Alligator mississippiensis: one gene and its partners. The protein of the gene in region 2 interacts with the protein of the main gene of each other region in a pairwise test. Links are inferred from orthologs where the notes say so. Each region holds a gene or a part of one and is shown on either strand. Other genes may lie near its edges. The genes, in order: MTUS2, zinc finger protein 777, PLEKHF2 and ZC4H2.

What was found.
Region 1: the proteins of zinc finger protein 777 (region 2) and MTUS2 interact in binary tests that used the Homo sapiens proteins (3 or more experiments, as listed by UniProt). The two-hybrid records come from large-scale screens. The link is inferred for Alligator mississippiensis from reciprocal best matches to the Homo sapiens genes ZNF250 and MTUS2.
Region 3: the proteins of zinc finger protein 777 (region 2) and PLEKHF2 interact in binary tests that used the Homo sapiens proteins (3 or more experiments, as listed by UniProt). The two-hybrid records come from large-scale screens. The link is inferred for Alligator mississippiensis from reciprocal best matches to the Homo sapiens genes ZNF250 and PLEKHF2.
Region 4: the proteins of zinc finger protein 777 (region 2) and ZC4H2 interact in binary tests that used the Homo sapiens proteins (3 or more experiments, as listed by UniProt). The two-hybrid records come from large-scale screens. The link is inferred for Alligator mississippiensis from reciprocal best matches to the Homo sapiens genes ZNF250 and ZC4H2.

What each region holds. Positions count from the first base shown.
Region 1 is NC_081824.1:427,352,661-427,360,273, forward strand, and holds the start of MTUS2 (microtubule-associated tumor suppressor candidate 2), read right to left. Parts: upstream 3,089-7,613; 5' UTR 3,030-3,088; intron 1-3,029. UniProt on the Homo sapiens protein: Binds microtubules. Together with MAPRE1 may target the microtubule depolymerase KIF2C to the plus-end of microtubules. May regulate the dynamics of microtubules at their growing distal tip.
Region 2 is NC_081828.1:218,304,759-218,312,274, forward strand, and holds the start of zinc finger protein 777, read right to left. Parts: upstream 3,035-7,516; 5' UTR 2,972-3,034; coding exon 2,951-2,971; intron 2,940-2,950; exon of another isoform or gene 2,676-2,939; intron 2,558-2,675; coding exon 2,156-2,557; intron 436-2,155; coding exon 309-435; intron 1-308. UniProt on the Homo sapiens protein: May be involved in transcriptional regulation.
Region 3 is NC_081826.1:42,918,768-42,926,219, reverse strand, and holds the start of PLEKHF2 (pleckstrin homology domain-containing family F member 2), read left to right. Parts: upstream 1-4,380; 5' UTR 4,381-4,474; intron 4,475-4,962; exon of another isoform or gene 4,963-5,135; intron 5,136-5,188; exon of another isoform or gene 5,189-5,210; intron 5,211-7,452. UniProt on the Homo sapiens protein: May play a role in early endosome fusion upstream of RAB5, hence regulating receptor trafficking and fluid-phase transport. Enhances cellular sensitivity to TNF-induced apoptosis.
Region 4 is NC_081831.1:63,327,328-63,335,279, reverse strand, and holds the start of ZC4H2 (zinc finger C4H2 domain-containing protein), read right to left. Parts: upstream 3,335-7,952; 5' UTR 3,207-3,334; coding exon 3,154-3,206; exon of another isoform or gene 325-3,153; intron 1-324. UniProt on the Homo sapiens protein: Plays a role in interneurons differentiation. Involved in neuronal development and in neuromuscular junction formation.

The DNA of each region.
Region 1 (7,613 bases), on a different chromosome or scaffold from region 2:
GCCATATCAGCAGATACCAATCCAATTGCCCAGCAGCTTGGAGAGCAGCATCCAGCTGGTAAGTCTGTTGGGGGGTGGCTCCCCACAGTGAGGGAGGAGGAGGACTGGGGCTGGCATTGCCCAGCTGGGGCAGGGCATGGGACAGAGCAGCTCACCCAAGGGGTGCAGGGAGGGAATGGCTCATCTGGGGGGCACCCCCTCCCTCTCCACAGCCCCTGGACGAGCCACTTGCAGCTCCGTCCAGCGCCCTGCCCCAGCTAGGCAGCATCTGCCCCGGCCCCACCCCTCCCTCACGATGGGGGCCTCAATCCCCCCTCCCCCCACACACACACACACACCCCCCTTTCCTCCCCTCCTTTACCCCAACAGACTTACCAGCTGGACGCTGCTCTCCAAGTTGCTGGGCTGGCTACATGATTGCTGCAGCTGTGTGCATGCACACAGCATTTATCAGCACCATTACTGGCCACATCAGCCAAAAAAAGTCAAATGCTGATAATGTCAATGTTCTTTTTACTGGTGCTGATATGATATAGACTGTGATGCATCTGTGCACCTCTAATTATCATAAATCCTCTCCTTAAGGATCTATTTCTCTCCATAATAAACTCTGAACTTAATGAAGGTTTGTGAATTCCACTCCAGGAGCTGGACAGCTACATCCCTCAGTGTATTTAGGTCTCAGTTCTTTGCCACAGATTCGTATAGAAATACAGGCATTAGAATAAGATACCAGTATTAAGACACCTTAAAAACAAACTGAACTACTTTGCTTTAAAAAAACCCATTACTTACACAAGTATAAGTTTGCAGAACTGAAGCCAGGCACAGAATTCTTTCCCATCAATCAATTAACTTTCTACTGTTTTTCTCAGCTATTTTTCTTTTTCAGATACAAACATCCTGTTTAATAACCTTAACTGCAGTGTGCAGGATGATAGTAACATTACAAATATAGTAATTTAACAAATGTTTGAACAACACATGAAAAACTGAGCATTTTTCAGCATTCTCCTTGGCAAACCTATTCATTTTTTCCTCCTTTGGCTGCTGCCTCCCTCTTAGCTGACACTCTCACTGAGATGTCACCTAGATCTTTTCTTCCTAAGAGGTTATAGCAGGTCCAAAAGCCATCAGTGGGTATGAGTAGCTTAAATTAGCTCTTTCAAACTGCATTACTTTGTGCTTGTCCGATCATGTGACAGTCACTAAGTTTCATTAGAAACAACAATTCTGGTCCTAGAGCTAATCCCTGGGGCATCCTCTATTAACCCCAAACCAAAAAAAAAAAAATCATCAGCAGCCCTCAACTCCCATTCCGCACTTTTTATCTCTTAACTGATCTTTACTTCTTGAGAAAATTACCTCTCAGTGAATGGTTACCAAGGTCCCTGAATAGCCTCCTGTAATGTACAGTGTTAAGAGCTTTTACAAAGTCTAGGAAACTGCTGCTTTCTTCCTAAATATCATGGCAAATGCTATTTAACAAACCTCTACTATCAACCATATTAAGTTATACATTAGCTGCCCCCCTTTCTTTATCTTATTAAAAAGACCAGGTATTGCTGGCACCATGAGAAATATTTGACAAAAAACTTCTGGAGCATATCTAGTAGCATTTCACCTGTGAAGCTGTCATGTTTATTATTAAAGTCTCCACAAGTGCCATTAGCAAAACAACAAATGCAAGACATGCAAAAAAATCTCACCTCAAAAAAATCCCACCATAAACCAAACAGACAAATTAGAAATGATGATCAAAATCTGACTTCCTTTTGTTGACCTGTTTTTAAAAAAATATTTCAGTCCGTAACCAGAACGTGCTCCCATTCCTCAACAGATCCAAAAAAGACAAGCTGTATCTATCAAAAATCAAATCTACAAATATTTCAACAAGCAGTGAACTAAATAATAGCTAAAAAATTATGATACATCTAGCCATTTAAAAAACCCCTCCCTTTTTGCACTAGATGCAGTCAAGATTTTTCTCTCTCTACCAAACTCTTTATACAGATGTTTTTAAAAGATATTGATCATCAGAGAAAAAAAAAAAGGTTTGACAAGGAGAGATTTGACACAGAGCCAAAATATAAGAGTTAAATATTAAATACTACATAGAAACTACATGAAAAATCCAAATGGCACAAAAACTAACCCTGTATAAAACCTCACACACATAACACACTTACAATAAAAACAAAGACAAAAAAGGCATTTCTACATCCTTTTACAGCTCAGCGCAGAGCGTCTCAAAAGTGCCTGTATCATACACCTATCCATTGCAAAAATCTTACCTGTATACAAGTATTTCACACTTTATTTTGCTACCCTTACACTAGTATCAATACCTATTGCTAATACGCAACTTGCTGAACTATAGGCATTAATAAACATTCAAAGCCTTCACGTAATGAGCTGCAAGAGCTGTGCTGGCGTATCCCTACCGTTACAGTGACCCGAAGGACAAACACCTCTTGAACCCTTCCCAGCGCGAGCGTTTTGTCCAAGCCCACGCTTCTAAATAGTGCCAGCAGAGACATGTCAGCTGGGGGCTGCGAGCGTATCCCACCCCCTGGCTCACGCAGCGAGTTCAGCAAAATTATTAGCCACCTGCCTGCTCGGTGCCGACAGAAACGGTCTTCTCCCCGCTCCGGTTACCTTCAGGAAGGCGGCTTCCGATACACAGCCCGCTGTGGGCACACGCCGTGCCCGCACTAGGGAGCGAGCCGGCCTGCCTGTCCTCGCTGAGACCCCGGCGCAAGCACCTGAGGACGGGCGGCAGGCTCTGGATCGGATGCCCACCACAGCTCCCCACTCACAGCCTCTGACTCAGAGAAGCCGCTTTGTTATCGTGGGCGATTCCTCGAGAGAGGCGCTAGGCGCCACGCGGGACGGCCCGCGGGGGGAGCAGACACCCCGGGCAGCGGGGCCCCCCCAGCAGCGCCCACCTGGGCTGGCGGCAGGGACCCCTGGCCCCTCGGACCCGCTTCGACACCAGCGCCCCGCGGACAACTTCGCCCTGCCCCTACCTGGAGCCGCTATCGCCGTCGCCGCCTCCGCCGCCCCCAGCACCAAACGCCGCGGCTGCCGAGAGCCGCGCGCACTGCACGCCCCGCCCCGCCCCGCCCCGCCCCGTGCGCACGGCAGCAGCTCTCCCTACAGGCTCGGGGAGCAGCCGCCCGCCGCTGCCTCCGCGCCGCCAGGAGCCGCAGCGCCCCCTGCCGGCCCCCGCGCGCGCCGCAGGGGCGCCGAGCCCGGCAGGCTGCGGCCAGGTGCCACGGGAAGGGCTGGCCACAAAAACAAATTCCCAAGTGACAAAGTTGGGGAGGGGGAAAGGGAGGCTGCGGAGCCTTGTCATTGCTGCCTACCTCTTCCCTGGGCTGGGCCTTGACACAGACCCGCGGGAAGGGCAGCCCCCGGCCCGCCTGCCCCAGCATCCTGGACCAGTGCAGAATGTAACCATCACGTGGTCAGCGACGTGTTGGGGCCGAAAGCACCCGCGACCTGGACTTGTATGAGATGAGATGGGGGAGCCACGAGGGGCCCGATCTTTGTCGTGGCAGTGTGGCCCCAGGCCCTTCTCCACCAACCGCCCCGAGGCGCGTGCCACGTGGCATGTCTTCGAGCGCCACGCTCTTGGAGGGTGCCTGCCCCTTCCTGAAGCGGCCCTCAACCCTGACACTACCCAAGGCACAGCACCCCAACTTGCCACAGAGAAAGCAGGAGAGCCAACATCCTGCTTCTTAATGCATGCTTGAGAGATCCCGAGGTCTTACCGTCCACATCCCCCCGCCACAGGAAGACAAACCTCACCCCCAGTTGGTACCGGTCAGGAGAGGAAAATTTCATCCCCGGATACCAGGATCGATGTGACCCCAAGCTGAAGGTCAAGACCCTCTAGCCAGGAACCTCCCACTTAGTGCCAGCAAAAGCCATCACAATCCCCAGCCTTGGCCGCAGCCAATGCCCAATGCTTTTTCTTTACTTATGGGGATTTTTCCCCATCTTTAGTTTTCCCTGAGCCTGAGGAACGGTGTGTGTGCCCAAGAGCTTGCAGAAAAAGATCATTTCTTTTGTAATTTCTTAGTTGGTCTAATGGGAGGTATCATCTCTGAACCAAGAGTTCTAGAGTACTGCATTTCTGTTCTTGACCTGGAAGCTGAGATATATGTGACCATCTGAGTTCAGGGTTCTAAGGCAGTGGTTCTCAACCCCTCCCAACTCAAAGCACCCTTCAGAATATGCCAGCTCTTTGTTTTCACTCATCATTTGACTAAGGAAAAAGGATCTTTTTGTCCCCCTGTTTCAAAGAACACAGAGAGATAATAAAAGGTCAGAATGTTTTAACTGTGTGGATTCCTATTTGAAATCTCTGGGTTTATCTTGAGAATCATGTCTGTACACCTAACATTACATGGGACCCTGCAACACCCTTGAAGGATCTCAACCCCCCCCAAAAAAGTGCTGCACACCCCGGTTGAGAATCACCGCTTTAAGGAAAAGAACAAGCACACTGTATCACTTCAGACAGATCTCAAGAATTGGCCAACCACTTTCTGGAATCCCTGAAATAGCCATTCTGCCCTGACATGTCAAGAAGGGTGACAAATCCCACTGTCTTTGAAACAGGCACTTCCGTCTGGTCTAAAGTAGTCTGGGTTTATTAAACTTCGGGGCAGCAGTGCTTTTGGCCCCACAGGCCAGATGAGTGGCAGGAGGCCTGTCTGTGGGCCAGATCAGGCCCTGTGCACCAGGATCCAGTCCCATACTACCCAGATCAACCCCTATTTGGCCTCATGCTGCCTGGATCAGCCTCATGTGCCCAGTCTAACAGGCCAGATTTGGTCCCAGAGCTGGAGGTTGAGCACCCCTGCTTTAGGGTAATCTCTTGATTAGAGACATAGAAAACTTATGGTTAGAGCCTACTGCACAAGCCCTTTTCAAAATTCCAAGTTTCTAATTTCACAGAAAAACTAGGAACATTTAGTCAAGTATTTCATACACCATCACCATTTAAATATGGCTATATGAATATGTTTATATTATTTTTCCCATGTAATGAGTATAGTTATAAGTGCAAGTTGACATCTGTACATACAAATGACTGAGCTGTAGTGGATTATTTTATATGGACCCAAGGTACCAGCTTTCTGAATGCCAAAGTAAAATGTGTGTCCATCCTCTTTCTCTTGCAGAAGCTTTACTACACTTGAGTCAAGAAAAATTAAATAGGGTTTCAAATACAACATTTTTGGAAATATTACTAATGAGGAATGCTTTCTGCTGCTTGACTGGCTACTCTCCAATTCTTGTCTCCCTTCAGGTTTTTTCTTAAATATGCAAAACACCACCAAAAAGCCCTATCGACCTAAGCCCCTCTTAAAAATTCAAATAATAATCTCCACACCTTCCCTTATTTTTGCTCTGTCTGAACTCTTGCCCAGTGTCTTGTTTTATCTGGCTAGGACTGTAAGCTCTGTGGGATAGTGTGTCTTAGTTACATAGTTCAAGTTCAGTTTACAATACAATGTCAAAGTTATTAATGCGTTTATTCTTTTACTAGTACAGAGCCAGCACCCATTGTTCCAATCAACTCATAAAACATGCTGTATTGAAAAGACAGGATGAGAGATTCACAGATTCATAGATGTTAGGGTCGGAAGGGACCTCAATAGATCATCGAGTCTGACCCCATGCATAGGCAGGAAAGAGTGCTGGGTCTAGATGACCCCAGCTAGATGCATATCCAACCTCCTCTTGAAGACCCCCAGGGTAGGGGACAGCACCACCTCCCTTGGGATCCCATTCCAGACCTTGGCCACTCCAACTGTGAAGAAGTTCTTCCTAATGTCCAGTCTAAATCTGCTCTCTGCTAGCTTGTGGCCATTATTTCTTGTAACCCCCGGGGGCGCCTTGGTGAAGAAAACCTCACCAATTCCCTTCTGTGCCCCCATGATGAATTTATAGGCAGCCACAAAGTTGCCTCTCAACCTTCTCTTGTGGAGGCTGAAAAGGTCCAGGTTCTCTAGTCTCTCCTCATAGGGCTTGGCCTGCAAGCCCTTAACCATACGAGTGGCCTTTCTCTGGACCCTCTCCAGGTTATCCGCATCCCTCTTGAAGTGTGGTGCCCAGAATTGCACGCAGTACTCCAACTGTGGTCTGATCAGCGCCTGATAGAGGGGAAGTATCGCCTCTTTGGATCTATTCATCATGCATCTGCTGATGCACGATAAAGTGCCATTAGCTTTTCTGATGGCTTCGTCACACTGCCGACTCATGTTCATCTTGGAGTCCACTAGGATTCCAAGATCCCTTTCCACTTCCGTGCCACCCAGCAGGTCATTTCCTAGGCAGTAGGTGTGCTGGACATTTTTCCTCCCTAGGTGCAGCACTTTGCATTTCTCCTTGTTGAACTGCATTCTGTTGTTTTCTGCCCACTTGTCCAGCCTATCCAGGTCTGCTTGCAGCTGTTCCCTGCCCTCCGGCATGTCCACTTCTCCCCATAGCTTTGTGTCATCCGCAAACTTGGACAGAGTACACTTCACTCCTTTGTCCAAGTTGCTGATGCAGACATTAAAGAGTATCGGTCCAAGGACCGAGCCCTGCGGGACCCCACTGCCCACACCCTTCTAGGTCAAAACCGACCCATCCACCACGACTCTCTGGGTGCGACCCTCCAGCCAATTCGCCACCCACCGGACTGTGTAGTCATCCAAGTCACAGCCTCTTAACTTGTTCACCAGTATGGGGTGGGATACCGTATTGAAGGCCTTCCTGAAGTCTAAGTATATGACATCCACCCCTCCTCCTGTGTCCAGGCATTTCGTAACCTGGTCATAAAAAGAGACTAGATTGGTTAGGCACGATCTGCCTGCTACGAACCCGTGCTGGTTTCCCCTCAGCATAATTTGTCCTGCCGGGCTCTCGCAAATGTGAGCCTTGATAATTTTTTCAAAGACTTTGCCAAGGATGGAGGTGAGACTGACTGGCCTATAGTTGCCCGGGTCCTCCTTCCTCCCCGTCTTGAAATTGGGGACCACATTGGCCCTTTTCCAGTCCTCCAGGACTTGGCCTGTGCGCCACGAGCGTTCAAATATTCCTGCTAGTGGCTGTGCAGTGATGTCGGCCAGTGCCTTCAGCACCCGCGGATGGAGCTCATCTGGGCCTGCCGACTTAAAGGCATCCAGTTCTTCCAAGTGACTCTGCACCATCTCAGGGTCTACGCATGGTAGTCTGGCATCCTGCTGTTGCCTCTCTACAATCCCAGTGAGAGACTTGTCATGCCCCTCTCTTAGGAACACTGAGGCAAAGAACTAGTTGAGGAGTTCAGCCTTGTCCCCCCTGTCCATCACCAATTGCTTCTGCCCATTTAGTAGGAGTGCTATTCCTCCCTGGGCCTTCCTTTTACTCCCTATATATCTAAAAAACAATTTCTTGTTATCCTTTACTTGGGATGCCATCCTCAGCTCCATGGTAGCTTTGGCCCGTCTAACTGCCTCCCTACAAGTGCGAGCAGAGGAGGTATACTCCTCTTTGGTGATCTCTCCCTGTTTCCACTTTTTATGTGCTCCCCTTTTGGCCCGTAGGCTGCCCTGGATTTCTCTGGTCAGCCA
Region 2 (7,516 bases):
GCAGCGTATTTGCCACACTTCACCTCTTGCTCTAGTGTTTTGGTTCCTGGCTGAGTCAGGATGGAGCGTCACAGGGCTGGATGATCCCAATAATTTCTTCCAGTCCTAAACTCTATAGAGCTCACCCCAGAGAGCACATGAGGCGAGATCCTACCCAGCTTGCCCTTCCACCGCATTTGTCGTGTGGGTCTGATGGCCTAACAGGTCTTGCCTGCAATCCTCCAGAAACCAGAAGGCCCCGCAGATTCACCCCGAGCCAGCCCGTACCAAGTGCAGCTGCCCAGACAGGAGTAAAACAAAATGCTCACCCAGCGAGACCAGGGTCTCATAGTTGCCCCTCATCACGTGTTTGTACAGCTCCTTCTGCCAGCTGGCCAAGTTCTCCCACTCCTGCTCATTGAAGTAGACCGACACGTCGTCAAACGTCACTGGCACCTGCAAGCACAGAGGTCACACGCTCAGCAGCTTCAACAACAGCCTGCATGCCCATAAGAGAGGGGCTGCATTTCACCGCATGCTCAATTGAGCCAAATGCACCTCGAGACACATCCGGGGTGCCCTGGCCCATTTTGCAGAGGTTCCCCCAGCTGCCACCCAGCCCTGAGGTCATCTGTTTGCAAAAGCCAGCTTGTTCAAAGCCACCCAGGGCCTGCTGCCTACCTCCAGGCACGAAGCCACCCCCTGTCACCAGCACAACCTGCTCCTAGCCCACCTACACTGGATGCTGCACAGACAGGAGACAGACATGCAATGCTGCGCACGCATGCGTGACCGGGTCCCCACCAAAGCAGGACGAGCTGTCTGCCCCCACTCCAGCAGTGCTTTAACCATGGGGCCTTTGGTGGATGTGGGGTAGCACCCCAGCTTCTCCACTTCTTTTTTGTTCAGACAAAAACTGGGTTTAGCTGCTTAACAGCAGGGAAAGGCGTCACTGCTGAGGACCCAGCCAGAGGGAAAGGCCCTGATCTCTGGCTATGTTGGTGGCACAGGTAAGTACCGAAGCTCCAGCCTGTCTTCTGCCCGTTGCATCTCCAGCTCAGTTTGGTCAGCAACCAGCACACCGAGCTCCTGGTCAGCAACTTGCCCCCAAGCGCTGCATTGAGACACCCAGCATGAGGCTGGAGACCTCAGGGGCTCAGCACTACAACCCCCCATGCCTTTGGGGATCTGGTCTCAAGACCACACACCTCGGCCACGCACGAGGTGGCAACCAGCATGAGATGCGTGCAGATGTACCCCAGGCCTGCCGCAGCAGCCCGCGCACCAAGCCATCGCCAGCTTGACTGCTGGGCTCCGAGAACGACCTGCCACCCTGCAGCTATCGCACTACGCCTCCACCTTTCCTCGCTGCATAAAGCAGACTCAGGTCCCTACTGCCATGCACGAAACGCCCGTTGGGAATGGCTGATATAAGGCCGTAAAGTCAATTGAGGCTGGATATCCAGAAAATCATTTCCACTGTGAGAACAGTGAGGCAGTGGCCTAAAAACCCCAGAAACGGGGTAGAGGACTCCTCATCACTGGAGGCGTTTAAGAAGATGCTGGGCTGTCACTGGTTGGGGGCAATTTAGGTGTAGCGATGCCTGTTTTCTACCATAGGTATTTCCCAAGCTTCTGGGCTTTGCTGTCTACTCCCTTTTTTTCCTCTGTTGTCAGGGTGTTTTTAAGCCTCCCCAGAGGCGCTGGGTGTTGGCTACAGCTAAGGGTGGGAACTTCAACGGGGGCGTGCCAATTCTCCTGCCGGGACCAAAGCCAAGGTTTCCTGGCTAGAGGGTCTTGCCCCTCTGCTCAGGGTCAGACCAATCACATCTTTGGGGTCAGGAAGGACTCTTTTCCCCCGTGGTCAGATGGGTGCGGACTGGGGGCAGGGAGGGCCCTTCCTCCGCAGCGGGGCATAGCCCCCTACCCAGAACCTCTCGAGCAGGTTTTATAGAGGCGAGACATTGACCGCCGCAGTCTCCCTGCTTTCCCTGCGGCAGGCTCGGGTGTTCGGTCGGTGTCGTGTCAGGGTTGAGGTCAGTCTTACACAAAGTCGAGATGATGGAGTTGTCTGGGATGGTTTGGACGGGGCTGAGGCCGGGGTTGGATTAGAGGTGACCTCCGGAGCTCTACTTCTCCGTGACCCTACTACGGCCCTGTGACCGGGGGTCCTTACCTGCGGGATCTCCCCCTTGGTGCCGGGCGGCAGGCGCAGGATCCAGAAGTTCCTGTTCTTGAGCAGGTTCTCCATGTTGTCCAGGCGCCGCTGCAGCAGCTGGTTCTCCTGGATCAGGGTGCCCAGCACGGCCCACCGCCCCTCCAGCTGGTTGCCGAAGTCCACCACGGTTTTCTCGCAGCCGGCCAGCTTCTCCTCCGCCGCCCCCGTCTTGCCCTCCAGGCTCAGCAGGCGCACCGCGTGCGACTCCACCTTCTTCTCCATCGCTTCCAGCGTGGCCATGACGGCCCCCAACGAGCCCGCCGCGTGCTGGCCACGCATGGCTCCCACCGGCGTCCGCTTGAGGACCACGGAGGGCTGCAGAGCCCGGTGGAGCCTGGCGTCCCTGGCACACGCCGAAACCTGCGGGCACAGACACTTCGTCTCTGGGGGAGTCCATACCCCACCCCTCGGGCTAGGGCTTCCCGCAACCCAGCGGACGGCGAGGGACCGTGGCACGGCGAGACAAAGGTGGACCGACCTGGCACCTTCCCCTGCGCACCGCTACGGAAAGGGGGTGCCGCAGGCGAGGCGGTGGGGCAGCACCCCCGGGGGAGAGGACACCTGGCAGGGCAGGGGAGGGCAGGGGAGGGGGTGCGATGCTCTGCCCAGCTGTGCAGCGGGGCGGGGAGGGAGGGAGGGAGGGAGGCGGGTGCGGGGCGCGGGGCAGGGCACGTGTGCACGGCGCGGCGCAGTTGGGGCGCTCCGGGGGCCCCGCGCCCCGCGCCCGGGGATGCTCCGCGCTGCAGCGCTTACCTCCGCGGCGCGCCCGGCCATGGCTGCGCGGCCCGACCGCACCACGGCGCCGCCTGCCGGCCGGAGGCGCCGCCGCCGCCGCGTGTGTCCGCGCTGCCGCGGGGCAGGGGCAGGGCCCGGAGCTCCGCCCGCCGCCGCCGCCCGCTTTGTCCCGGGCCCGCCGTGCTGGGCCGGGGGATCCCTTCCTGCCCCAGTGCAACGGGGCAAACCCCCCCAGTGTGGACCAGCCCGGGCAAGGGGAGATCCCTTCCCGCCCCCTCAGTGCAGACCAGTCTGGGCAGGGGGAAATCCCTTCCTTCCAGGACCTGCGGGGTTGGTGCCAGCAGGAGCACTGGCACAGCCCCAGCCTGGGCTGCAGCAGCCCTCCACATCTCTGAGAGAGGCGTCAAGCCCCCGCCCCTGCCCCTGCCCCTGCCCCACGGCAGGTGAGGAGAAGAGTTTCACGGTCCCGGGAAGGGGGCCAAGGTTCTGCATTCGCTGAAGCACGGAGACGTGGAGCTGCAGAAGTGACACCGGTGCAACCCTGGCGTGCGGCAGGACGAGCCCCGTGCAAACCAGCCCAGACCCAAACCGTTGCCCAACCTCTGAGCAGCACGACACAGCCAGCCCAGACACAGCAGGCATCGCCCCGCGCGTGCCCCAGGGAGAGCAGGAGGACCGCAGCCGCCGGCGACCTGCTGCTGTACAGGGTTGTTCGTGCACGCGCCAGACACCCCGGGGAGAGGCTGCGAGGAAGGAGAACGGCCCCGCTGTCCCTTTGCAGTGCCTTCTGCCCACGAATCCCATCAGCGGAGCTGGCAGCTGCCTGCTCCACGCACCAAGCCTGTGTCTCAGCAGCTCCCCGAAGCCTGCCCTAAAGAAGAGGCCCCGAGCCTGCTCCATTGCCGCCCTGCTGATGTAAAGGTTCCTCCTCCTACTTCACTTCAACCCGGCTGCCACCCTTTCAAGGGTGCCACGTGGCGTTAGCACTGCTAGGTGGGCGACCGGGGTTCACACGATGAGCCCCGAGACTTCCGATAGGAATCCACAGGGTGAAAGGCGAACCCCCCCGTGCACGCCGGCCCAGCATTTCCATGGGGCTGTTCTGTGGAGGATGGCCATAGCCCCGGGGCAAGGAGCGATGGGCTGAACTGTGGCAAGGGGAGACCTAGGTTGGGGGGTAGGGCAAACCTGTCTGGGGGTGGTTCAGCACCAGAACAGGCTGCCCGGAGAGGCCGTGGGGTCCCCATCCCTGGGCTTTTGCAAGAGCAGGCTGCACAGACACTCGTCTGGGATGGTTTAGTCAGGGACGATCCTGGACAGGATGGACCCCCAAAAGCCCCTTTTACCCTACGATTCTCTCTGTGGCTCTATACCCCCTGCCCTGCTTTTTTCACAGGAAAACTCTGTTTCTTGGCCTTTTCTTCCCAGCCATATTTCCCAAGCTCTCATCATCATCCTTATTACTCAGTGAAAACACTGAATAAACCCAGGGCCAGGGCAGGCCTCCCTTGAGATGCCGTCCTGCTTTGACAGCAAACCACCGGTAACTAGTCTGGAGCGCTGGTTTTCACCCAGTTTTGTGCGTGTCCCCCGCCGTCCCTCCTCCCCGATGGCTGTCCTCTTGACAATACACTTTTTTTACGCATGCTTCCTTCTAGCTCTTTTCCAGACGAAACAATCCCAGGTCCTTCAACCTTTCCAGCTGGTTTGATTTGAAGCCCCCCGTCCATCTTGTTGCTCTGGACTGCCGGCACTCTCTTTGTTTCTGAAGCGGGGGCACAGCGAGGCCCGCAGAGTGCAGCGATCGTCTCCAGTGTCGCACGCACAATGCTCCTGCTAACAGACAGGACAAGGCGCAATGGTTTCAAGTTGCAGCAAGGGAGGATTAGGTTGGATATTAGGAAACACTTTCTCACTAGGAGGGTGGTGAAGCACTGGAACAAGTCACCCAGCGCGGTGCTGGGATCTCCATCCTCGGAGGTTTTTAAGGGCCGGCTCGACACAGCCCGGGCTGGGATGATGTAGTTGGGGCTGCTTGGAGCTTGGCCTCATCTGCAAACCTGAAAAGCTCGCTTTGCCGTCCATCCTCTGAGCCATGAATGGCTCGTTTCTGTTCATCTGGTTCCGAGGCTGCTAGGACCCCCTTTTTAAACAAACAGGGACTGTGTTTTTTGCCCTTCTCCCCTGGTCTGGGACAACTGCAAAGATAATCGCTGCGGGTTCAGAGATCAGTTGGACTAGTTCTTTGACTACCCGAGGGAGGATTTCATCAGCTCCTGCTGACCCGACTGCACCGAAGGCTCCTTAACCTGTTTATTTCCCCTCCTGGCCGATACTCTTATCTCCTCATTAACATTACATTTTAACTTAGCCTTTTTGACTGGACAGAAGCCCAGCATGCCCCAAATACCTCCTTGGCATCAGTACCAGACCTTCACTGCCCTCTGCCTTCCTCTTTCTCCCAAATTAATCTAGAGAGCCTCCCCCAGGGGCCTTTCTCGCCCCTTGCTGTTACACCGTATCTCATGCCTTTGCTGGTTTGCTGTTACCCCACCCCAGGCTTAGTCCGTTCCTTCCCACTGGCTTCGTCATGTGTTTTTACTTCAGGTCTATGCAGGGCCCAGGATGCGGCTGGAGTAAGGGCTTGCTGCACATCCCATTGCTGCTTTGTGCTGGGAGAGCCGGCTGCTGCACCTCCGACCTAGCTGGCTTTTTTCAAGGCTCACCCTTGTCCCGCTGCCCTGCGCCCTGCTTTTCTTGCACGGCAAACCCCCTCTGTAGCAGTTCAAGGCCACGGGGCAGCTGTGTGGCTCCTGCCCGGCTTGGACTCTAATGTCACCCTCCCTGGATGCCATGTCTTGTTCTCATTAAAGGCTGATTAAGGGAGGCTGCCCACAGGCCTTAGAGTGAGCCTCGGTCCTGGCAAAGGGGCCATACTAGTCTCAACTCACCCCCCAGGCTTGATAGGCCCTCTCAGCCTGCTCGTGCCTTTGGAGGGCACCAGTAGCCTAAAGGGCTAATTGCTTGGCCCCGCTCTGCCCTACACCACACCCCAAGCCTCGCAGATGTTATCATTCAATGGTGGCATCTGAGGTCCCTCCTGCTTAGCCCCTTGCCAGGCTCCTCAATACTTTCAGCCCTTCCCTCTGGGCTCTCGGACCCTCCGGTCCAGCTCGCAGCCCCTCTTGGACTTGTGGACCCTCTAGTCCAGCTCTCAGCCCTTTTCGGGGCCTGTGGACCATCTGGTCTGACTTTTACTCGCTGCCTGGCTCCTGAACATCCAGGTCCAACACTCAGACACTCCTCTTGTCTTTAAACCTTCTTTGGTCTTGCTCTCTCTCAGCCCTGCTTTGTGTGCCTGCATCCCCTGATCACACACCCAGCCCCTCTCAGGCCCAGGGCTTATATAGCTCAAGCCCGGCCTGCTGCTGATCAGGTGCATCCCTAATTAATCCCCTTTGCCACCTGCAAGCTGGCATCTTCTCTACCTCTGAAACGCCAAGGGGATAGGACAAAGCAGCCACGCGGGCTCCTGCTCATTCACTGCAGGTCACAAGTGTTCCCACCATCCTCTACCTCCCTTCTTCTTGGGCTAATTTCTCCCTGAGCCAAGCAGGGAACATGCTGTAGGGCTGTGCACATCTGCCCCCCACCCCTGCAAATCTTGGGGAATGGCTGAATATATACACAGAGGACAGGATTGAGCATGGACCCCGTTGCTGACACCCGGGGCTGTTGGGAACCCGTTGCTACTTCCAGCCTCAGCAGAACCCAGGGTCCTGCACTGGGAAACCACGTCTAACTCCACAACCCAGCAGTGGTGGGCCAAGCAGGTGCTCAGCCTGTGTGGGATGATCAGCCCTATAAAAAAAGGCCTGGTTCTTGGTCCATGAAAACTTCGGCCCCCATTCAGAACTGAACACAGACGTTGGCCACTGGCTGGCAAAGTGGACTGTCTCCACTTATATTAGCCAACAGAAAATAGAGTCCAGCAGTTAAATATCTGCTTATTCATTCGCGTGGGCCATGGGCACCCAGCTGTTGGCCTGGCCATGGGTAGAGAGTAGGTCCCTAGTCCATTCAGGCTGTCCCAGGGGCTGCACTGCTGCCCCCTCCCTGGGTCTGCAGATGGGGCCTGTCCCCGGTCCTGACTCCATAGGGCATTGATTTGACCCTGAGCAGAGGGGCAAGACCTTTTAGCCAGGTCAGGTCATTTTCCAGTAGCTCTTGTCATCTGCTCCTCCCCACAGCAGGGGAACAGGTGTGTGGGAGCCCCCTCTGCAGTGCCTGCTCCAACTCTGCACAGATACCCAGCCCAATGCACAGGTGAATCCCAGTGTGAGCATCCAGCCTTGCACAGATGTCCTTCCCTCTCTGAGCCCCCAGGCAAATCCAGAGAGAAGCCATGGAGCAGAAAGGCATGATCACAGGCATCCCATCTGCAGGCTCTTTCGTGGCCATGGAAATCTACCCCATGTACCCATGCTACCCAGGGTAAGCAAAGCAAAGCATTTGTTAGTCTGCCACTATCAGCGCTTTAAGGAGACAGGTGAGGCCAACCTCCACCCTGATCCTCCAACAAGG
Region 3 (7,452 bases), on a different chromosome or scaffold from region 2:
GAAAGTACTCCAGCCTACTGAATGGCAGCAGTTTGTGTCACTTGTACGTTCTGACCATGAAGAAAACGATGACAAGACCAGGTAGCTAACAGAACCCAAACAGAGAAAACCTCATGCAGCATAACATGCTAGATTTGATGATGTAGGTCTTAGTCCTATGTGTTATGTTCCACTGGGGCCAGGGAAGGAATTATTCCTAAAGTTAACCTCCCATCCCCTGAAAAAACAAAAAATCACATTCACATTTGGAACAGTGGCTTTGTAAACATGAATAATAGTAATAGCCAGGGATCTGGGTTTTCTGTTTTCTGTGGAAAAATGCATATTTTCTCAAAATTGGGAAACCTTGGGTTTTCCCTTGCAGGCTGGCAGAGTTTTAGCCTGCAAGGGGTGGGGGAGTAGGGTTAGGGTTAGGCAGTGTGGTGGAGAGCACCTCCTACAGCTCCCTGCAGGTAAGCCTATGGGAGTGGGGGGTGGGATGGGAGCACAAGTGATGCGTCGGAGGTGGAAGGGCACAGATAATGTGTCCCCCAGATTTCTGTACCCACAGTGAGGCACAGGGCTGCAGTGAGAAGCGGAAGGAGAGGGAGCGCTGTGCAGCCATGGACACCAAGGTGAAGTGCCCCCTGCCCACCCAGCAGCAGTTGGGTGCACAACTCCATGCTGCTGCCCCTGTTTCTTTCCCCACAATGTGTTGTTTGTGTCCACACCCCGCCTTCCCTGCACACTCACCCCCTTCTTCCCATACTGGGGCCTGGGGGGAAGTGGGGTGGGGCACTAGCAGGGCTGGGGGAGCTGTGGGTCGGGAGTGAGGGACACTGGTATGGGCAATGGCAGGGCACCCATATATAAGGGTTGCTCAGAACCACGAAGCAGCAGGTGGGACAGCTGCAGCTGGACTCGTGTTCTGATGAATGAAGGGGGTGGAGCTCTGATTTTCCATGATCAAAAATCCAAAATCAAACACCAAAATATTCAGGTATTTAGAATTTTATTATAATGACTGAGTCACTGGTAGGCTTCCAAATTGCTCTAAAATTGTAAATATATCAATAAAGCATAGTGTTAAACTGATACCTATATGTACCTACATAGGGAGGGTGTGTGTGTGTGTGTAGTGGCATTTAATTTCATCCTAATTGTGGAATAATGCAGATTTTACATTTTTATCAGAGAACTTGGGGTTTTTTATTGGAGAATTTGGGATTTTTTTTAAACAGAGAAAACCAGGATCCCTGCTAATAACACTGAAACCAGGAACTTTAATGGACTAATCGTTCCCTTTTAACTTCTCTCCATTTGATTTTATAATTTGAAATGACCATAGATTAAGGATTTGGGGCTGTTTCCTTTTGCTATTCAAATTAGCTGAACATGACAGCTAGATAATTTAAACCTCACTACAGTTAAATGAAACTTAATGGTTCAAACTGTTGGTGCAGTTTATTTCACAAGCACAGACTTGTACATGCTGATGAGTCAGGAGGCTGTGACACAGAAGTCATACCTTTGTATATCATCATTGTATCACAGGAAAAAATATCAAATCTCTAAACTTTTCACAGGCAACAAAAGCAATTTTAAGACCCATGACATTTCACATCACTTACACAAATACCTTTGTAAAATTCGTGTGGTTCTAAACTTATCCAAATAGATGATAAACCTGAAGCTAATGAATACATCCCCTAGAATAATAAAGGTTGAAAAATATTTCACAAAATTGAAATGGCAATTTAAATTAGAAATATGGGGCTATTCTTTAGGAAACAGGATTTTATTATTTATGTGGTATTTTTGGTATACAGGATACTGTACAACAGATCAGTGTTTCTTAGCTGTTTCAGGTTGGCAAGCCCTTACTCAAAGTGAAAAATCTTCATGACCTGCTGAAACATGTTATAAAAGTAAAAGGTTTATAACATTTATAATAATGATAATTCTTCTGATGAATACTTCTTGTTTTGAATGGTAAAGGTGTGCAAGGAGTAGGGGAACAAGATACTGCTTACTTCTGATGCATAACAGAATTTTCAACACCTTCTGATCACTTTTGTAGGAGTTGCAACCCACCACCTGACCAACACCACCAACCCACCACCTGACCAACAACCACCAACACCACCAACCCAAAACCACCACACTGTAAAAGATCATGGTTTTGTAACTAGGTGGTGCAACTACTTTCCAGACCAGTCACCTTGATCCAGCCTAAATGAGAGCAGCATGTTATATGGAAAAAGTTTAGAGAACTATGTATATAGATGAAGTGTCTTGTACAGTTACCAGATCCTGGATCTGAGAATCTTACAATCCAAAAGGCCTAGCTAGTACAACACAAAATGTGAGTGCTTCTCAGTCTGATTACCTCAGGAAAAGGGGTTCTTTAGAAGTTTTATTGGAGAGGGAATGAGCTTCACATACATTAGATGGAAAGCTATTCTGGGTGGCACCATGCCATAGAAACCTCAGTCAAAAATGGGCAAAACAAAAGATGTGTTAAAAGGCAATCCTGTGGAGGATATGAGGGCATAACATCTTGGAAGATAGTACAAATGCTTACATTTAACAAAACAGAAGCTGACAGGGGAGGATCTGGGGGAGAGCACTGGTGCGCTTGCACCCCACTTTGATTACTGCTCCAGCCAAAGTTTAAAACCACCTGCCTGGCAGTGGCGGCAGTATTTCTAGTCAGGCAGTGCTGAGGGAGTCAATGGACTTCATGGCTCATTATAATCTACCGGATCCTTTCTAAACTCTTCAATCCCCAGCTGTTACCAGCCCTCTTCTTTTTAATGGTCTTCATGTTCCACCAATCAAGCTCTCCTTTGTTCTGCAATTCTGGTCTCTCCACAGCCCTGCAGATTGTATTCAACTCACTCCAACTAAGATATATTTGTTTTTGTTTCTAATAGAAATGGAATCATACAGCCTTAGACCCCTAGTGTCTTAATAATGCTATTTCTTAATGTAGTCTATTTCTAACTGGAGAAAAATTGTGTTATATGTGATGATGCACCTCACCATCTGCACACCCCTTTTCAAAATCCTAGAGCTTGCCACGGAAGCTGCCATAAGACATGCAGCAAAGAGGAAAGAGGGTGAGGTGAGCAACGGATGCCCAGCAAGTTTCACCCACGATAATCCATTTCTCTTCGGCAATTGGAAGTGATCAAAGCCGTCCCCTGAGGCCGTATCAGGCACTTGGGGCTCAGCTCCAGCAGGCCTTTTGATGCTATGCTGTTCCAGAACGTGGGACACAGCCAACGGAGCAGAGCTAGAAGCCCCCACTCAATGAGGATGGCCACTAAGGACATGTCAGTGACCGCTTGGGACAACCAAGACAAAACAGCGATGGGGGTGAGGGTCACAGGTTCAAAACGAGTGCAGCCAGTGGGGACAGGGAGCAGAGGACACCGGACAGTGCCTACAGGCCCCTGAACTAGTTGAAGGAGCCAGTGGACACTGCCTGGAGAACAGAGGAGGGATGGGAAAGCGAGGTGATACTTCCCCTCTGTGCAGCACTGGTCAGGCTGCAGCTGGAGCATTGTGTCCAGTTCTGGACACTGCACTTCAAGAGGGATGCGGATAACCTTGAGAGGGTCCAGAGGGCCACTGGTATGGTTAGGGGCCTGCAGGTAAGATCCTATGAGGAGAGATTGTGGGACCTTGAATCTCTTCAGCCTCCACAAGAGACAGCTGAGAGGGGACCTTGTGGCTGCCTAGAAGTTCACTGGGAGGGGCAGCAAGGAATAGGGGATACTCAAGTTTGCCCAGGCACCCCTTGGGGTTACTAGGAACAACAGCCACAAACTGATGGGGAGCAGATGTAGATTAGACAACAGGAAAAAATTCTTTATGGTGAGGGTTGCCAAAATCTGTGATGGGCTCCCAAGGGAGGTGGTGCTTCACCAAGAGCTCAGGGGGTCTTGAAGAGGAGGCTGCACAAGCACCTGGCTGGGGTTGTGTGAGCCCTGCGCGCTTTCCTGCCCAGGCCGGGGTCGGACTCCATGATCTCCTGAGGTCCCCTCCGACCCTACAGCTATGAAAGTGGCGCTGCAGGCCTGGGGGGTCCTCCCTCCCTCCAGCCTGGTCAGGTGTACCGTGGCCAGGGCCAGGTGGCCCAGGAGGGCCTGGGGGTGCATAAAGGCGCAGGCAGCCAGTAGGGCTGCAGGGAGCCGGACACCCTCCCGCAGGCCATCTCCCCAGCCGGGCCGGGCCGGGCGAACCGCGCTGCGCCCCACACAGGCAAGGCCCCGCGGGCGGACACGGCCTCCCCGCGCCCGGGGAGAGCAGCCGCGCGGGGAGGCGGCCCTGCCCCAGCCTCCCCAAGATGGCGCCGGCCCCTCCCCTGCGCCCGGCCGGGCGGGGCCTGCAGCCAGTCCCAGAGTGGGAGCCCGGCGGGGCGGGGTCGGCTCGGCTGCCCGAGCGGGGAGCGGAGCGGGGAGCGGCGCGGCAGGACGGGCCGGGCCGGGTGAGTGTGGTCGCTCGCGCGGGACAAACTTTGGCTGGCGGCGCCGTCCCTGCGCGGGCTCCGCGGCCATGTCGGGAGCCCCCGGGGCCGTGGCCGTGGCTGCCTCTGCCGGGCCCTGCGCCCCGTGGCCAGGCGGCCGAGGCTCAGGCCCCGCCCCGCCCCGGGGAGCCGCTCGGGAGGAAAAGGCTCCTCTCCCTCCCGGCCTTCAGGCAGCCCCGCTCGGTCCTTCGCCTTCCCCTTCTGGTCCCGGGCCGGGCAGCGGCGATGGGGAGCCGTGGCCTGCAGCTCCCCGTGCCCAAGCCCCGGCCGTACTGAGCAGCCCGGCTGCTGACTCCGCGTCCCCGCTTTGTGCGGTCTGTAGCCCGGGACAGGCCGGGCTGGAGGAGTCGCAGCAGGAGCAAACTGCTGGTGGCTGGGGTGGGTCGGGCCCGGCCCGGGGTGGCGGAGCCCAGCGCGGGCGGGCGGGCGGCGGGAAACGCCTTCACTCGAGGTCGGGCTGAACGGATGAGTTGGGAACGGGGGAGTGACATTTCCAACAGACCCGAGTAACGCGAGGTTGGTTCGAGCATGGCACGGCACGGCACGGCACGGCACAGCTCGGCTCGCCGCTTCCTCCTGGCTTCCGAGTGAGAGAGAAATCCAGCGGTAGCTAAACTTTCAGGTCACTTGGAGAAGTTTGTGGGGCGTTAACAGAGTTATTTTTAGGAATCTGGGGGCTTTCTTCCTACAGTAGACGGTGAGGATTGCGTTGCTGCCTGGCTTCGCTGTATGAGCTCTGTAGTGCTTGCCTGTGTCAGTAGTACCAGCGACTGGCATCTAGCTCTGAATTAAGCCTTTCATTTTAAAACTGTTTAATCTAAATATTACATTTTAATAAGCAAGGAGCTGTTAAGGAGATTAGTGCAAAGTGAGAGTCTTGTTTCCACTGTAATAGCTCACTTTACACTCCAGCTCAACTCATTTTCCAGGTGTCTGAGGTGTTTCAAGCAGTACAGATATTGGCTGTAAATATCATTCAGAGAAAGTCCAGCAGCCTAGGACATGGTGACTCTGAAACCCTATCATCTTTGTTGGCCCCAGATTCCTGGCTCTTGCATACAAAATATATCTCGGGGCTTTGGAAGCTTTGAGGAGGTTGCTGCTGTATATGAAAGTAGATGGATGGAGTTGCTTGAATTATAAATGTAATACTGATGTGTAGAGGCTTGAGGCAGGAGTGGAAGCTGCTGCTGCTGCTTCCTTCATGTCATTCAGAGTTAAATAGATGAGTATCTTTTTTTGTAAAGATGTACCTAACAGTCTGAAATTAGAGGGGAAACACATTTTGTGAAGAGGGATTAATTTTGTTTTTTAAATTATAGGCTGCGGACTGGGACATAAATTCAGGGCTTGCTACTTTCTTCTGCATTTTTCAACCTGCTCCAGCTTCCAGATTCCCAGCTGTGTATTAACTAATTCTGTTGATAATCACTTTAATGGTTATATTCAGATGTTTTGGTAGGCCTTTAATGGAGGTGAAAAATGCATAGGACTTGATTGTTTTGTATCAGTCTTGTCTGGACAGCAGTTTGGGTGCCTTCACTGAAGACATAAAATTGTTTCGGGCTGTGCTTATGGTAGAGCATGCAAAACGGGCTCTTTTGTGCACTCTGGTCACAATTATCTTCACAGCTGTGAAGGCTAGATACTCGAAGTTGAAGTAGAGCATGTAGATAATAACAGAGATGATTCGAGTATGTTGAAGAAAATATGCCTGTTGACTAAAATATTTGAAATGCTGTGTAGTTGTAATTCTGACACTTGGTCAAATACATTAACTGGGCTCTCAGTATTAGGGTAATGCTGAGTTAGTTAAACTAATGGGCTGCTAGTATGTATTAATGAAGACAAGTAAAGAAACTTCAGGGTTGGCTTCAGCCAGACATGTTTGCTTACATCTAAAATATTCTCTGAAAGATGTCTTGCTTGTGCGAAAGAAGAGAAACCAAAAATAAAAACTGAGCAGTACTCTAAATAAGTTTTGTTCTACAGCAATGGGCTAGCTAGTTTTTAATAGACTTCAGTATATTTAATATTCAAGTTTTATTTTAGTTCACATGATTTGTAATACCAGTTGTCACTTCCAAATATGGCATTTGTGTGTGCTGGTAAATTTAATGGTTTAACTTAATTTTTAAAATGTAATATATATTTTTGTTTGAAAAGGTAAATTATGCAAAATATGTTTTTAAAATGTAATCATAAGTTTTAAAAAGCTTGTCCTTCCCTAATCAAATATAAAGTTGCTTTTGTTCCAAGGGATTTAGTTCAGCACTTATTTTTGTAGTGGTGGGAGTGAAGTGGATAGAGAAACTTATCTGTAGACATGTATGGAAGATCATGTTTATAAAAGCATTAAAATACTCTTCAGTGTGGTAAAACAAGTGATGACAGCTGCTGTAGCAAGTTGAGTCCTGCAGATTGCTAATTTGAGAAGTTCTGCTAAAGGAATTGGGGCTGCTTGTGTGAATAAGACTTGCTTTACAGTTTACAGACAGTCATGAATTATACTGCTGCGTACTTATTTTGGCTCTTAATTTTTTTTACAGTTAGGTCAGAGTTCATAAAGTTGCTACAATATAAATACCTTGGATCTTATGGTGTGTCTTTGCATACATACTACTGTAGGTAAAAACAAAACTTGATAGTAACTTAAGAATTTTAAAAATTATTTTTGAAGTTCAAATATTTCATTTTATAGGATTGTTAGTCACTTGCTTCAATTACTATTTTCTTTGTTCTAAATAATAAGCCAGGTAGGTTTATTTATCATATATGCAGTTCAAAGTACTTTATGCATTTTGTATAAATGAATTAAACAGTGAAATTAGTGGACTTTAAATACTGGAACTTTTTTTTCCCTAAAATATAGTAACCCTAGGAGAAAAGAGAGAATTTACTGGAATACTGACTTGTAGTTTCTTAAAGTTTTGTATTAA
Region 4 (7,952 bases), on a different chromosome or scaffold from region 2:
TTTTCAATAACATCTCAAGTATACTAGTCAGTCTCTGACAAGTTGAAAACAATCTTTGCTCAGAAAAGCTTGCAATCTGTGGTACCAATCCTGCACCCTGATCTTCTGATCTATGCATCTTTGTAGAGTATCTTTGTGTTGAGTGGCACTCTGTCCAGGTGCAAAAGTTTGCACTGGCAGATTTGAGGCTGGTGCAGAGAAGGAGTATCATAAAATGGGTGGGAGTGATACAATCCAAATATTTATGCTTGATTAAATATACATTATGTGATTTTTTTTAAAGTGGAGTCATTCTCTAGTAAGCTGTTCCTTTATTTTTTGCAGATATCATAAAAGAAGCAACTCTTGAAGAAGGACTTGGAGAAGGATGTACTGGATTTGCCTGACCAATTTCATCTGTGGTAATAAGAGTACCTGCTATTCTGAATGTATGTAATACATTTGCATCAAGGAAATTGCTTTTCTCATTTTCTCTTTTCTGTATGCAAGTGTCGTGTTAAAAGCAGAGACCATATTAATTTGACATTAACCTCATCACTGTCTTTGGCTCCACTTAAAACATCTTTAGTAATAGCAGCAGCTTTGACTAATGAAGCTAAGAACACGTTTCCTTTCTATTTTTTAATATATATTCCATTTATTTCTTGAAGACAATGAAAATAGACAGGTTAGTTTCATTGCTATTTCTCATCACTGACTTAGGTGCTGCCAAAATGATACAGAGTTGCAGTGGGTTGTTTCAACCCAAGCAATTAATTTTTTACATTAAAAAACAAGCATGCCCAGATCATGAACTTTTTCTGTGAAAATCTGGCCATATAAAATATTTTTGAAAATAAAAGACCTAATTTTGGGACACAGACTTATCTAATTGATTCTGCCCTTGCATCTATTCTTGTCTTTTCTATTGAGATGCTTATACTGCTCTTACCCCTCTAGTATCTACATGCCATCCAATAGCACATTAACCAACATAACTAACATCTGTCATGAGTGTTTCATTCTCATTCTCTCACTCTCTTCACTGGGGGAATCCTGAGGATTCACTTAAATGGGCCTTAACTCAGCGTGACCCAGAACGTTGCACTTTGACTGTTTTAAAAAATGTTTTAAAGATATTCATGTCATTTTCTTGGTACCACAATGAACAATAAAGGCAATACTTACAATAGTAAAGTGTATTAAATAACTACACGTAAAAAGTCACCTTTGGACATAATCATCATCAGAAATCTGAATGCATTTGATGTTGCTGAATGCAAGCTATTGTAACAACTAAAGGAAAAAAAAATCAGGCAGATATTTTGAATCCTATGTTAAAATTATTGAATCTCAACAGAACTGTGATTGGCCACAATTAAGTCTATGCTTTAAAAATTATACTCTTGATGTTTCAGCACAAAAGTTTCAGAGCATCACTGGAAGTCTGGGAAATATTTGCTGTCTTCTCCTTTGCTGTAGAGAATTCCAGGATGCCGTTTACAAAGATTTTGTGGGGTTTGGTCTTACAACACTTATTCATTTGTACTCTTTGCAGGAGAAAAGATCGGGCCCTTGCCTAGCAACATAACTTTCTCTTTTCAATTCTTATCATACTAGAGTCATAATATTTTGTTAAGGTGCAATAATGATAAAATTATCATTACTGCCAGCTCTTATTTTGTGCTTTTGATATCTGTTTCTTTTATCAATCAGTTAGCGGGGGATTAAAGCTGACTGTGCTGCACTGGCAATTTTTGATTTCTTATTATTGATTCCCTCAGGCTGGTCTTTTAAACTTTTCAATACAAAAATATAAAACACAATCCATGATGTGGATCAGCATAGTACACACACAAATAAGTATATACAGCTGTATCCTAGCCAGGGCTGTTTACTGCATCTTCCATTTACTTTCAAAATTATTGCAGTTACTTTCCCTACAACATGAGCCTTTGCTATTAAATTCACAGGTCCGTGCTAATTGCAGACAACTGAGGAAGTAAGCAAACCACGATGTTCAGAAGTAAAAAGGTGCAAACATGCCATTTAAAGACAATCCAGCTCAGTGCCATGCACTGCAGTTTGATTGACTCCCCCTGCATCACATCCTGCGATTCACTGTATGAAGGACACTATATAAAAATTAATGGTAGATTAGATGGCACAGAAGAGTGAAGAGCTCCAGCTGCCTGCCTTCCTGGTAGCCTCTCTCAGGAAGGCAGAAGCAGCTCTAAAGCTATTATGTCCCTGCTTCATCACCCTTGTTACAATCTCTCCACCCCCCTTGTCCCCCAAAGTCCTCTATACGCAACAGAAAGAGAACCTGGAAAAGAACCTCCACGTTTCACCCTACCCCCTCATCCCCAGCCTTTTCTCCAAAATGGGGATGAAAGAGGGAAATAAATCAGCTAAACAAATCTCTGTAGGACACAGTTTTTGTTTTGTACTGCCCCCACAATAAACCCCAAATTCCTCTGCAGTCTATAACAGTGTTGCAGTACATATATCCTGGAGCCTTGGCTAAGCAGACACTGTAACAGGTCATTCTGGCTCACCAACCATTTTAATTTTTTGGAAACTACTTTCCAGCCCCACCTCCCTAATTTTTAGAGCAGCCCTTCTGTTTCCACATGCATTTGTTATATCCTGCAATTTGTTATGCCCACTTTTCCTCTATATCCCATTAAATATGTGCATTATGCAACCTGCAAGAAGGAAGTTAAGAATGGATGGGACCAAAACCTGCAAACAAACCAAAAACAAGCAACCAAAAATCTCATCCTAGCAGTGTACAAGAATTTAAAAAAAATCCTTATGCCGCTCTTCTTTAAACAGATCGAGTGGTTCATCCGCTGCTACACTGTACTCCTTCCCCTCATTTTATTGCTTGAGGGTAATTCTTTGGAAGTACATGATGATCACCACCTTACAATTTGGTTCCACAGGCACTGGCTGTCAAAAGCAGCAGCTTTCTACTTTTTTTTTTTTTTTAAAGAAATATGATGCCCATCTTCTGTCATAAAGGCTCTGATTTTTCTGGGGTGCTATGAGGTTGGGTTTTTTTTCGTTTGGTAGCATAACAATAGCTACTTTCAAGTCAGTGTACATTATCCATACCATAAAAAGAAGAAAAAGCTTCATGTAACTGATGCTGCACAAAAGAAAACATACCTGATCTCTTTGATGCTTTCCAGTTTGCACATGATTTCTTGCTCATCAGCCATGCTTTTCACTCCCAATTTAAACCTCCTGTTAAATGTGCAAGTGCCAGGAAAGAAAACCCCATACAATAGACACAATGTAGCCACCCCCCTCCAGGCATATGGTCTCTGAGCCTGTGCAGTAAAATCTAGGAGGAGCTCTGGGAGTTAGAGTCCAGTTCCTTATTGTTGCCCAGGCACATGGAAGCAGGGAAGACTACAACACCCACAAGGCAGAGCAGAGATTTCCTACTCCTCTTCCTGCAGCCACACTTTAAATCAATTTGTCACAGCTAATAATGTCAAAGGTTGTTAGGAGGGCAGGGGAGCAGAGTACTTCCTCCCTGAGGTTTGTGGATTGTTTTTATTTCAATTAAACCAATCCAGCAATAAATATATGAGTATTAAGGGTGAGTTTGACAAGTCTAAGATTTGACGGGAAAAGACGTTTTAAAATAATCACAGCTGTAACCATTGCTACAGCCACACACTTGTGTATTGGACAGTTTAATTGCCATGAGGGTACCCAGAGACAGCGTGGGGGTTCCTGATCATTTTCTTTATGGTCTCAGGACAACATAATGAGTGTAAATTACAGAAAAGAAATAATAAAGTGAGAATACAAATATGACGCTAGAAAATATTTAAAGCAACCCTTTGCCTTCTTTGTGCCTTCCTTCTGAGGATCTGCAAAAAATTTACAGACCCTGAATTAGCCTGCCAATCCTGTATGAAAGAGGTTTTTATTTTTTTTTTGTCCGGCTACCATGGTACGCTATGCTAGATGCTATGTAGACAGTTGTAGAATGCAACATTTTTGCAAAAAACAAAAAAACCCCAAAACCAAAAAAACCCACAATATCATTCCAGAACACATTAGTAGGAGAAGCATATTGAAGACATGGTGGGTAAGTATTGTGTACTACTCAGTGCTAAGGCCTCAGCTGGTACAATTTTCTCAGCTTTGGGCAACGCAAGAGTAAGAAGGATGCGGACAAACTGGAGGACGTTCAGAGGCAAGTAACAAGGATGATGAGAGATTTGGAGAAATACTTCTAGGGAAAGATTGAAGATACGTTGTTTGTTTAATTTAGAAGCCTGAGTGGAAACCGAGGTCTTCCACTATGTAAAAAGGCTGCGATAAAGAGGACTGTAAGCATTTTCTCTCTATGTCCACTGAGAACAGGAGAAATAGTTATTGGCTACATTTGGAGCAGAGAAGATTTAGGCTAGATATAAGGAAAACCTTTCTAAATATAAAGATAGCAAAGCCCTGGAACAAGGTAACCAGGACAGTTGTGGGATCTTCTTCACAGGATTTTTTTAAGAACAAATTAAATAATCAACTGTTGGTGATGGTCTGGTATATGTGATCCCACTTTATTTCTTTCATAGAGAAGTAAGGCTGAAAGGGACCTCAAGAGATCATCTAGTCCAACTGGGGAATCTTAATGCAAAGGGTCCAACTAGATCAGAGGTATTGAGTTCATCTTGAACCAGATCCAAATCATAGGGTCCTCCTGGGCTGGATCTGGGAGGTAAGTGGTTGCGGCTGGTCTGGCAAGGAGCCAGGAACAGTAGCAGGGCATGAGAATGGTTGCAGCACTGGGAGTCCAGAGGTGGCAGTGTGGATACAAGGGACGTGGTGGTGGGGCCAAGTACTGGTGGGCCGGCAACCAGAGGGTGAGCAGAGCTGTATCTGCTCAGCCCTTGCCCCTGCACCGATGGCCACATCCCCAGAATCCGCAGCAGGCCTCCACAGTTTCCAGTAGCCCACTGGTAAGCATACAGGCTAGATGGAATAAATAATTCTGCAGGCCAAATCTGGCCCATGGGACACATTTTTTACACCCGTAGACTAGCTGATCTTTTGAGGACCCTTCCAGTTCTACAGTGTATCACTGACTTCAGTGAAACTACTTATGCAAGGCAGGGGGCATGGGTTTACTAGAGTTTGCAGGATAAGGCCCAAAGGAGGGAAGGACAGATCTCTTCACTTTCCAGCCATCCTGCAGAAACATTCCTCTCTTATTTTACTCCAAAATGCCTACACATCAAAATTACTTTTTTTTCCTGACTCTCCACCCAGATGTAATCACAAACAACCAGGGCTGCATCCTGTGTAGACTGTAGGCTTAAGTCCTCAAGGCCAACTTGAAAAAATGCAACATGGACATCAACTTGTGGAAGACTATCTCCCAGGACCACCCCAAATGGAGGAAGAGTCTGCTGGAAAAATCAGTCCTCTGAACAACAAGAGATGAAAACGTGGGAGTGGCAGAAACAGCGTGTCTCAGACCAAATCAAGAATCCAGAGCCACCCACTCTACATGCAATAATGTGCCTGAGTTGCAGCAAAGCCTGTCGATCCTGGATTGGCCTCATAAGCCATCTTCGGACCCATGGATAAGCCAGTCATGGAAGACAATCATCCTCAAATGCGATGGATTGCCAAAGAAGAAGGCTTAAGTGTGTGATGCATTACTGAGCATCTTGAAAATCTCTTGCAGCCCATTATGCCTGTGCTCTTACCGGCAAGTTTGGGTGTTGTGTACTTTGTGGGGTAGGTGAAACGTTTGGCTCAATCTGATAAAGAAAGGCGAAAAGAATTATAGTCAATGCCCTTATTTTCTATTGCATTAATAATAGGCAGTAATCGGCACACTGTCCTTGACATTTTCATGCATATTAATTAACTGAGCTTAATGACATTCCATGAGACAAGCAGTACTGTAATGCCACTTTTTTGGATAAACCCAAATGCCAGATCCAGACCACCCTGATTGCTGAAGAAGTTGCCATCAGGCCTATTTTCACTCATTTTACAGATAGGGAGACTGAGGCACAGTGAAGCTAAAGAACTTGCCCAAACTTTAACTCAGAATTGAACCTAGATCTCTGATATCCAGTCCCCTGATCCAATCACTAAAAGCTACTTGAAGAATAATGTGCAGCAGGACTGGATCTTGTTTAATTGTTATACTGAATGACTCTTAACAGCGGATGCTACAGAAGATAAATACTGTGCATATATGGCCCTTTTCTTCTGAAATCCTGAGAGTGCTTTGCAAAAGTGCATAAAAAATAGAACCACAGAAAGGTTAGGGTTTACATTTTCAAACATAGTAGCCTAAAATCAGGTATGTAAATAAGTAGCTGGATTTTTACAGGTGATGGATATACATATTTATTTTGAAAAAACAGGCCTAATTTTGCTCTTCACCTCTAAATCCATAGTCTTAACTTCAACCAAATATGAAATTTATGTTGACTTAACTGAAAACTTGCATGTCCATGGTAACAGAGGGGTAACTCCAGTCACATGTGAGTATTTGTGCTGACTGCTGTAGGTTTCTTCTAAAGATACCTATCTGTGTTCACAATCACTCCATGATGCATTTATGTCAAACATTGCCAGTTGTGAAGAGCATTGCCATTTACAACTCTCATAATAAGGAATGCTACAATCTTCTCCTGGGCACCTGATACTTCCGTTGAATAGAAAACATAATCTGAAATAAATGAGCAGCAAAAAAGAAACTTATTAGGAAATGGGGCACAAAGTTAGATCACTCCACACCAGAAATGCTACTTGTGTGGCAAAGTAGATGGACCTTTGCCAAAGAGAAGCCATCTACTTCAGTTCTCTATGTAGATCTCCAGCTGGGGAGGAGGAATATGTTTGACTCTCAGTGAGGCTTTCTACAAGTTGTACCAACAAAAGGGTATCTCAGGAGTCTCTATAGATGTGCTGGTTGCTCAGGACGTGCACCTTTTCTGCCAAGCATTGCTTGATTGTAATGCCACAACAAACTCTTGATAAATAATGTTGCAACTGTTTGTATCACCATCATTTGGAAATTTTTTTTACCCAAATAAAATGTGGTTGTTAACGTGTGTGACGTAAGACAGTTTTGTCGAAAGATGGGTCCTCTCTTCATGACACAGGAAAGTTTGTTACTTCCTTAAGTCTGAGCTTCACTGATCTGGGAAACAAGCCATGTCGGTCTGGAGCTGTCTTCTGCATACAAAACTAACACAAAGATCTTTCCAGGTGCTTAATTCCTCATTCTTGGTGCACTCAACTCCATTTGAGGTAAATGGGAGTTTGCTGTGAGGGAATATGAGACCAAATCTCTCTTGATAATTTAAAAGGTGAATTCTTTTAGCAGATAACACTATTTGTCCTAATTATGCACAAATGAGCAGAATGATTTTCCCTGTCGTTTATTTGCACTCTTCCGCAACCTGCTGTTAATGTTCTCCTGCTGTCTGCAGAAGATTGCTCTTCTCCAAGGGTAGTTCCTGAACTGCTGTTTCTAGCTGTTCTCTGCCTACATTTGCCCTTTGCAGAGATCCCATGTGTATATTTGCCAGTGAAGTTCCCTGCATTCCTGGAGCACTATCAAGCAAATCCGAATCTCAGAAATGAAATAATGATGTGACAGTATAACCATCTCAGTAAATGTTGTTGGACTAAAAAACCTTGGACTGATTAAAAACCCTCCATGCATGGCAATTCCCACTAACCTAAAAGGGATATTTATGTGGTATACGGAGGGCTTGAAAAAGCAGGCCCTGTTTATACCAGTTTGCTTCCCTCAGTCCATTTTGAAATAAGTTACAAATCACCATTTGAAGTAGGTCATGGGGTAGAATGTGGCCCTGCAGTTGGAAGAAATAAAAGGCAGAAACCAGGTTTCAGGGGTGAGATGTCCTCACACATCTCCTGTGTTAAGCAGATATTCTGGTGTGTAGACTGAATAACGC